Arabidopsis thaliana: one gene and its partner. The protein of the gene in region 1 interacts with the protein of each later gene in a pairwise test. Each region holds a gene or a part of one and is shown in the gene's direction. Other genes may lie near its edges.

The links.
Region 2: the proteins of AT3G23690 (region 1) and HB18 interact in a two-hybrid assay, tested with the Arabidopsis thaliana proteins (one large-scale study listed by BioGRID).

Annotation. Positions count from the first base shown.
Region 1 is NC_003074.8:8,528,049-8,533,113, reverse strand, and holds AT3G23690 (basic helix-loop-helix (bHLH) DNA-binding superfamily protein), read left to right. Parts: upstream 1-1,755; 5' UTR 1,756-2,458; coding exon 2,459-2,878; intron 2,879-3,043; coding exon 3,044-3,244; intron 3,245-3,344; coding exon 3,345-3,479; intron 3,480-3,562; coding exon 3,563-3,634; intron 3,635-3,717; coding exon 3,718-3,870; intron 3,871-3,961; coding exon 3,962-4,058; intron 4,059-4,143; coding exon 4,144-4,181; 3' UTR 4,182-4,505; downstream 4,506-5,065. Other genes in the region: AT3G23700 (Nucleic acid-binding proteins superfamily), read left to right, coding at 39-198, 290-410, 492-573, 654-757, 1,045-1,123, 1,208-1,258, 1,342-1,425; AT3G23685 (F-box associated ubiquitination effector family protein), read right to left, coding at 4,797-5,045.
Region 2 is NC_003070.9:26,734,057-26,739,166, forward strand, and holds HB18 (homeobox-leucine zipper protein 18), read left to right. Parts: upstream 1-1,837; 5' UTR 1,838-2,069; coding exon 2,070-2,145; exon of another isoform or gene 2,146-2,233; coding exon 2,234-2,436; intron 2,437-2,569; coding exon 2,570-2,649; intron 2,650-4,101; coding exon 4,102-4,363; 3' UTR 4,364-4,609; downstream 4,610-5,110. Other genes in the region: DEP (RING/U-box superfamily protein), read left to right, coding at 99-584.

The DNA of each region.
Region 1 (5,065 bases):
CTATATTGTTTATAATTTGAGGTAAATCTTTATATTAGGTTGTTCAAGCTGATGAGGAAAATAGAAAGTTGATTTTATCTGAGAAGTTAGCATTATGGCCAAAGTATTCACAAAACGTTAATGTTGGGGATGTGTTTAACGGAAGAGTAGGTTCTGTTGAGGACTATGGTGCCTTTATCCACTTGCGTTTTGATGATGGTATATTTGCTTTTACCTAAATTTCTTGGTTTCTTTTTCTTGTTTTGAGCTTATGACATTGATGTCAGTTATGTGGGGTGGTGGTGTATAGGTCTTTATCATTTAACTGGACTAGTGCATGTCTCCGAAGTATCATGGGATTACGTTCAAGATGTTAGGGATGTACTACGCGATGGTGACGAGGTTCGGGTTATAGTCACGAATATTGACAAGTGAGTTGCTTATTTTGGTTACTGAAATTTATTAGCCATGACTCATGATATAGTTTTTAATCAAAAGTTGTTCCAATGCAGAGAGAAATCAAGGATTACACTATCCATCAAACAACTAGAAGATGATCCTCTTCTAGAAACATTAGACAAAGTGATTTTGAAGGTAAAACAATGTGAATGAATGTGTTTTCTGTCTCTTGTGGGTCTTAGTGATTTTTAATAGATAATTGAATATTGTTACAGGACAGTTCTACTGGATCTCCTTCGCTAAGCTCGAACAATGGGGATACAATTGAACCTCTTCCAGGGCTAGAAACAATACTTGAAGAGCTTTTAAAGGAAGATGGGTATATAGACAATATCATTTTATAATTTAAATTTACTATGCAGTCCTAGTCAGCTCTTTGCATAATATCTGCTTATTATAAGTGACTAGGATCACCTCTACTCTACTAGATTTGTTCACTCCTCGATTTGCGATTGAATATATACATGTCAATAGCTATTGCTGGCTGATACTTTTTCTGAACCCATGATGAGTTGGATATTGTTAATTGCATTACTTATAGAATCTATGTTTCAGGCATAACATTTTGGTTCCAGTGTGTAACTAATATTCATTTCTATATTGCAGAATAGAAGCTGTGAAAATCAACCGGCAAGGATTTGAGAAAAGAGTGGTTTCACAAGACCTACAACTTTGGCTCTCAAATGTGAGTTCTGTTTCTCTTTACTTTCCCGTAAGAATAAACTCTGCTCTGTGAAAATTCTGATTCTATGCGCATGTTCACACGCAGACACCGCCTTCTGATGGGAAGTTTGTTCTTCTTGCCCGTGCTGGAAGACAGGTAAATCTCAGAAGCTACCCATTTATATGGCCATAGATAGAGAGATTCTTGGTTTGATTTTAAGTAAAATATTAACATTACAGGTGCAAGAGATACACTTGACAACGTCTCTGGAACAAGGAGGAATCAAGAAAGCGCTTCAGCATGTACTAGAACGCGTCCCCTAAGAACCCGAAAAAAGACTTTTGATACTCAGCCACTATATTCAGCTCTATGCATCTCAAACTCTTGCCAATGTAACTTCAAGTGGAGCAGAGACTACTTCAGAAATATTCTTAAAAGGCAAAAATGCAAATTCATTTGTATCATCATTATATGTCACACATAACACAAACCTATGAAAATATATGTGTATACTCAATGTTTTTAGTTACACATTATAAACTTCATTAACATAAACAACTCATAATACATCAAATTCAAGTCTAAAACCTTCTCAAGTCAATAATTGACTTTTTTGACACCATGTTTTGGTAAGTACCATCATCTTTTAAAATAGTCTCTTAACCAAGAATAATCAAACATGATAATTAAAAACAATTTTATCCTTTTGTTTGTTTTCTCTCCCACAACTTTCCTGTCTCTGCCATGCACATGCTCTCTCTCTCTCTCTCTTTCTTCTCTCTTATTCTCACTCCAATGATTACAGAGGCCAGCCTAAGCAGCCTACCCACTTTCACCATCTAATGTTCCCACATTAACATAAAACACACGTAAGATTCTTCTCCTTTTGAACTGTAAAATTCACTCTTTTTTAATTTCTTAATCTTTCTTATCATTACTTTCTCTTTTTTATTTTGTCATTTTCTCTTAAACCTTCTTCTTCTTCTTCCTTTGATCAGTAAAAAAAGTCACCGCCTTCTTCTTCTCTTTCCTCTTTCCCCTAATTGATCAATCATGCTTCTTCATTTCTAGTTCTCTCTTCCTGACTCATTTCCCTCATTAGATCTTCTTCTCCACTAAACCCATAATTGAAAGAAGCTCTTTTTTTGCTTACATTGAAGTTAAAAAATCATCACTTGTTTTGTTTTTGAAGAAACACACATAAAGTTTGTCTTTTTACTTCTCAAATTTGGTTGTTTTCACTCAATTTCAATCTTGCTTTCTGATTCAGATTCTGGGTTTTCTTCAGAATTCCCAGAGAAGTTGTTGGAATTGAATTTTTCACTTTTTTGTTCATAAAAGTTCTAGTCTTTTTAGATGAACATGGACAAGGAAACAGAGCAAACCCTAAATTACTTACCTTTGGGTCAGAGCGATCCCTTTGGCAATGGCAATGAAGGAACAATTGGAGATTTCCTTGGAAGATACTGCAACAACCCTCAGGAGATTTCACCGTTAACTCTACAATCCTTCTCTCTGAATTCTCAGATCTCCGAGAATTTCCCAATCTCTGGTGGAATCAGATTCCCTCCATATCCAGGTCAATTTGGATCCGATCGTGAATTTGGGTCACAACCAACAACGCAGGAGAGTAACAAGAGCTCTTTGTTGGATCCAGATTCAGTTTCGGATCGAGTTCACACCACGAAATCTAACTCTAGAAAGAGGAAGTCGATTCCTAGTGGTAATGGCAAGGAGTCTCCAGCTTCATCGTCTCTTACAGCTTCCAATTCAAAGGTTTTGATTCATTATCTCTCTTGCTCTATTTCAAAAATGTATACTTTAGGAAACTGTAGCCATATGTGTAAGAAAGTTTGTGTTTTGTGGAGACTTTTTATCTATAGACCTTTTAGTGTGTGTACAAGGTTTTTTAGTTGTGTTTGGTTTTGGATATATGATTAGGTTTCAGGAGAGAATGGTGGATCTAAAGGTGGGAAGAGAAGCAAGCAAGATGTAGCTGGGAGTAGTAAAAACGGAGTAGAGAAGTGCGATAGTAAAGGCGACAATAAGGACGATGCTAAGCCTCCTGAGGCGCCTAAAGATTATATTCATGTCAGAGCTAGAAGGGGTCAAGCAACTGATAGCCATAGTCTTGCTGAAAGAGTACTACACACCTTCTAAAACTGATCTGTTTTTTTGTTGATTAGGGGCTGTTTTGATGTTTATGATGTTGATGTTTTTTTTGGCTGTGTTTTGGTTTCAGGCAAGAAGAGAAAAGATTAGTGAGAGAATGACGTTGCTTCAGGATCTGGTTCCTGGTTGCAACCGGATTACAGGGAAAGCAGTCATGCTTGATGAAATTATAAATTATGTGCAGTCCTTGCAGAGACAAGTTGAGGTATGAATTGTGTATTTCATAAATGTTCTTGAAAGTTGGAGTTTGTATATCTTGAATCTAAAACTCGTGGTTTGTTTCTTTAGTTCTTGTCCATGAAGCTGGCTACCGTAAATCCAAGGATGGAGTTTAATGCTAATGCTTCTTTATCCACAGAGGTAAGATTCTGCTTTGTATCTATAATGGAATGGTCAGATTATGGAATGTTTTGTATCTATAATGTGTGTATTTGTATGTGTAGATGATTCAACCGGGGGAGTCGTTAACGCAGTCTCTTTACGCAATGGCTTGCTCAGAGCAAAGACTTCCATCAGCATACTATTCACTTGGCAAGAACATGCCAAGATTCTCAGACACACAATTCCCCTCAAACGATGGATTTGTTCACACTGAGGTAGTTTTAGTAGTAGCTAACGTCAGATTCTAGAAAAACTCGTTTGTGCGTATCGTAAACTCGATCCTTTTATGTTTTTGATTCATTATAGACACCAGGATTCTGGGAAAATAATGACCTGCAAAGCATTGTTCAGATGGGTTTTGGAGATATCCTCCAGCAACAGAGCAACAACAACAACAACAACTGTAAGAAAAATTAGAAGCAAATTCGTCTATCGAAATTATAGAACTATCTCTTATGTTGTTAAAGTCTCGTATCTTTATGTTGCAGGTTCTGAGCCAACGCTTCAGATGAAGCTTGAACCATAGTCCATAGCTATGATTATTATCTCTGTTGTACATACAGAAAACCAAGTAGTGATGAGTAACGGAGTGAATCATATTGGAATTTTAATGTTTACAATCGTTGCTTCTTTGCTTGTGTCTCTGTTGATTTCTTCTCAACCTTAAACAAAAAAAAAACAAGAAAACTTCAGATTAAGTATGTAAAAATATGACAAGAACTTTTCTCTGTACTGTTTTACAATCGTTATGTATTATGATTGCTCTAAGCTTGTAAGAAACAGGAATAAATTTGTTCACTTCTTTATATTCTTTTCACATTTTCTTACGAAACAAGATTGAGAGTACGAGTGGTTGATTACAGAAGTTCTCTCTTTCGATTCGTATACGTTCCCAATTGACTTCATGAGACTCTAATATTGCATTTTAAGGTACACTAAGCTAAGTTCCAGAAGAAAAAGATTGAGCGACTAGCTCATTATCGATGAAGAAAGATAAGAATGAACCATGAACATGATCTTAATCTTCAGTTTCATTAACTCAAGACTTGAAATAAAAGCTCTGTTTCTGCGTAATAATAGAGTAATATCATCTCGTTGGCTCCTTTTTCCTTCCTCCTATCAAAGCTCATTGATTTGTCGCTTAGAGTGAGACAAGCCTCAACATGTTTTCATCATATCGACACTTTTCTAAATCGCTTTGTTGTTTCGATTCCCCTCCTTCAGGTTGCTTGATTTGTACTAAACTTGGAACATAAGAGCACAGATCAGTCCTACATTCTTGGTCTCCAAAATCTCCAACGAGATCCAATCCCCTCAAGTATCCAGCCTCTCCAATGACAATAACTCTCTCGCGGTTACGTCCATCAAAACCAAAGGCGACTTTCTTCTCCTCGTCAATGAAGAAACTTT
Region 2 (5,110 bases), on another chromosome or scaffold:
TTTTCCTAATCCTAACTCGTTTAGGTTTTGATATATCTATATATATCGACACACTGCCATTCTTCTTTTTCATTAAATCTCTTCAGTAATTCCATAGAATGAGTGAGATTGAAGAGCTCGTGTGTATTGAAGCAAGTGTTACGCGCAAATCTACATCAAACACGGTGGAGATCAGAGAATCGCGTCGAAACAAGGTTACTTTAGGATCAAGCGATTCTCCTGCGTTCCCGACCCCTCACCTCTTTTTGAAAAACATCGTGAGCTTTGATGAACAAAGCATGTATAATCTTCTCTATCCAAGGCTCCAAGATCCCAACTTATGCAGTATTCTCTCCTTCAAGATCGCTTTCGAAGCCAAGCGAGTTCCAGGGCCGTTGTACATCTCCTATGACGTCACATTAACCCCACAAATATTCGAGGAACCAGACATGGAAACATGCGGTCTTTGCTTGTTGGAGGAACAGCACTTATTCGACATGCCAAATTGTGCGCATGTGTTTCATGGTGATTGTATCGATAAGTGGTTAAGTACAAGTAATAATTGCCCTCTCTGTGGTGTTGAAATTATGGATGACGACGAGTGACGAGCATCGTCATGAAGAAACGATTACGCATTATGATATTCTGTATTGAAACCTATCACTTGATTTTTTAATATGTTAATGGGAGAATGTTCCTAAACGAGATGTACTCTCCGGTTTGGAAAGGAACTCATGAAATTGTTTGTGTTAATCTGCATACTAACCTAAATATCTAAGCATAATCGGATAATAACCTTCACGGCTTCACATCATGTCGAAATTGTGTTATCAGAATCAACAAAGTTGTGCGCGCGTATACAAACTTGTGAGGAATTTGGTTCAATTCGTAAGAACAAACTTATTCATCAGAACCGGAGAAAAGACAACATATAGTTAACCGGACCAAGGTCGGCTAGATAAAACAAAAGCAGGTAATGAGGGCCCAGAAGCACTCCACTTAGGATACAAAAGCCGTAAGGCATGGATATATTGGAGGAAATGACCCGTAAATATATGACATTTGGGTAATTTGGGTCATGCATGCCCATCCTAACCAATGATAACGAGTTCATTATTACACAATCCGTGGAGGATATGTGTATAATATCATTTAAAACTATATATTATCCCAATTAAAAAACGTCAAGCTTAATCTCCTTTTTTTTTAAGTTCAAAAACATCAAGCTTAATCTAATATATATACAGTAATAATAATAAACATATGTATATAATGTTACTAATATTGATAGATATCTATTAAAGAATTTTGTTAATTATTTTATTTTTTATATAATCTATAGATTCGAAACTATTAGATTTATATATTTCTTATTTATAGTTTAGATGGTAAATGATTTAAGTTTCAGTTATTAAAGATAGCTATTGCTTTATTTTTAAATCTACACGGTTTTAATAGATCCATTTAAGTATAGACCATTGTCATTTGTCTAAGATTATTGCATTTGTAACGCTCAACGCATAACAATGCTTTGACTACCCGTTATTGTCCCACACACGGCCATTACTAAACCCCAAAATACAAATTGGCAAAACATTATTGTTTGATTATACGAATCTGATTTGACTTAAACGACACTAGTCAAACCCCTTATTTTCTTTCCAAATCCACCAATCACACATATACACACACCTCTTTAATTAAAATCTATTCGTTTTTTTTTATTCCATCAACTTACCACTGGCCATTATATTTCTCCCTTAAATTTTGTTCCTTCGTATTTGACCTGCTTGAAAGATTTTTTTTTTAATAATCTTTTGTCGTGTTTCATACTTTTAAATATTTTACATATTTCGATATTTCTCTTATGCTTAATTCCTTATTCCATATTCCACATTCCACGCTTATCACAAAATCTTTCTCCTTTGTCTCGCTTTTTTCTTTTGTTCTTTCACATGTGTATATACACACAGAACACACACTTACATTTCTATTATCATATAAAACTTCAACTTTACCTTTTATCTTCCAAAAAAAACACTATCTTCTTCATCAAATTCTCTTGATTCTGTTTCTTTTTATCCTCCTCCATGGCCCTCTCACCTAATTCAAGCTCTTTAGATTTAACAATCTCAATTCCGAGCTTCTCTCCATCTCCTTCACTTGGTAAGATCATATCCAAATTAAAGATTTATTAAATCTTATATATTATATAGTTTTAATACTATGTCTTCCAATTAAAATAATTTGGTAGGTGATCATCACGGGATGAGAGATTTTGACATAAACCAAACACCAAAGACGGAAGAAGATCGTGAGTGGATGATCGGTGCAACACCACATGTCAACGAAGATGATAGCAACTCGGGTGGCCGGCGGCGCAAAAAGCTCCGTCTAACGAAAGAACAATCACATCTTCTTGAAGAGAGTTTCATACAAAACCATACCTTAACCCCTGTAAGTATATATTAATGGCTCCGTCTATGTTTTGCTTACGTTGAATAGAGAAATAAGAAAGAGAAAAGAGTTAATCTTTTCTGATGATCATGTCGGCTGATGATGTTTTGGGTGGCTGATTATGAAACCACAGAAGCAAAAAAAAGATTTGGCCACCTTTTTGAAGCTTAGTCAAAGGCAAGTTGAGGTGTGGTTTCAAAATCGAAGAGCTCGGTACGTATATATCTACCTCTTCATATATTACATCATTCATACATAAAATTAAATTCGTATAAATCGAAGAAAATAAGAATTATATATCGTATGTTTATATATATACGGCATGTTATGTATATATATATATATATATATATATAGGGTTTTTGAAAATATACTTTTTACTTTTTAAGTGGTTGAGAATATTTTAATATATGAGAGTGCGTTGACAGAATATTATATCTAAAGAGATTGTGTCGTAACTTAGATTCTCAACATAATTCACCATATATACAATTATAGTTTAGGAAAATGTAGTAAAGTGGAAGTGATCCTTTTTTATCCAAGTGTTTCACGTTGATTCCCACATATATAGCTATCAGTTATCACCCATTTTATGCGACACATGAAATCCCGTACTCTTAATTTATGTGCCTACGTGTCTATATATAAATGTCCAATGATTCAAAAATCAAAATATAGAATGTAATAAATGTATCAACAAGAAAAAAGCGATAGGGAACATGAGGGACAAAGTTAGAGACAATAAATGATCTGTTTATTTTTTCAGCTCATCTTTGGCCAGTCCATAATTATGATGTTTGTCCCATAGAGTATACATATAACTTTAATGAAACTTAAACACACTCATACACTTTTTGTGAATGTTTTCTCTATATTGTCTATATATTCACATACATCTACACGAATGTGTGTAAATATATACATACATTTGTTAATGTATAAATACTAAGATACATGTATATGCATGGTAGATAGAGTTAGTTCATTAAGTCCATAAAGAATGGATCTAATTGCGTTCTATACATAACTCTACAACGTTATAATTTTGATTAATGAAGTGTGAAGAGCCTCTATAATTTTCAATATCTATTTTTCAGTTCGTAAAAGTATCGTAGTAGTGTTATTTTCAGTTTTTAATTAATGCCTTAATGGGGCCATTTTAGTATAATTAAAAAAATACGGAACCTGCATGTGTGAAAAAATATCAGAATAATGGACATTTGAAACAAAAGTTACTGTATTAGTACAAGAAGTAGAACTGTAGACGTCTAGAACAATATGATATATCATATATGTCAAGATGATCTTCTTCTTACGTATGGGCATTCCGGGTCAATTAAGCAATCACTTATATAGTATAACATGTGAACACATATTACACACAGGTTTATAAACTTATAGTTATATGCAAAGGTCAGTAGAATAGTCTTCTAAAAGTAGAAATTTATCAAACACCAAACTCGTTAATATATTAATAAAATTGGATATATATCAAACACCAACCTATGGATATATATGGTTGCATTGGTTGGTATAGGATAAAACCTATAACTTACGTATGGTGTAAGTATATCTTGAGACTGATGCTTCGGCGAATGAAACTAAAATTATGCATGGCCACATTAACCATCAATCATGGTTACACAAAATCTGATGTATATATAGGAGTAAGCTAAAGCACACGGAAATGGAATGTGAGTATCTAAAAAGATGGTTCGGATCGTTGAAGGAACAAAATCGACGGCTACAAATAGAAGTTGAAGAACTACGAGCGCTAAAGCCATCATCGACCTCGGCTTTAACCATGTGTCCTCGGTGTGAACGTGTGACTGATGCAGTAGATAATGACTCTAATGCCGTTCAAGAGGGGGCAGTTCTTAGCAGCCGGTCACGGATGACAATTTCCTCTTCCTCTTCCCTCTGTTGACTGGTTTGGTCGAAGTCAAAAGTCAAAAGATAAACGCCTGTTTCGGGGTAAAAAGCAAAGATTTGATGATGATTAGGAGGATTTTGTGTATAGTTTGCTAATTATTTATTACAAATTTACAAACCAGTGAGGAAAAAAGATAATTTAATTCTCGATCTTTAATTAGCTTTTTGTGTTATTTATTCATAATTTTATTTTTCGTGTTTAACCAAAAAATAGACAAAACAAATATTGCTTTTCGTGTCCCTTCGGATTGAGTTGTACTATTGACTTGAAAATAGAGCTGTTGATTCTGTGTAAGAAGACAAAATTAAAATATTGGATGAAAAATTCAGAAATATATATATTTATATTTATAAAAATAAATAGGAAGGAGAAAATTTATAAAAATCTAACTAAGAAATAGCAGCACTAGCAACTAAAGTTTATTTGATGCGCAAGGAGAGATTATTAAAACATCAATTAACGTCATTGTTATTTGACTTCCACGAGTCTCAAATAAGGCTGCTAATTATTCCATGACGTGAAAAGCTTATAAAATTGAATTCCGATGGAGAATTTCACCTACAAATCACCTGATGTCTTTTCCAAATGTATATATATTTTTTTTAATAACGATTCCAAGTACTTGTTGTTATTATTTATTTTTTTTTTTTTGCGTTTTTTGTGTTGTAATGGTTTATAGAGAGGAATTCATATTTATTTTCGACAACACAGAACCCTTATTCTTAATTCATGTAGTATTTT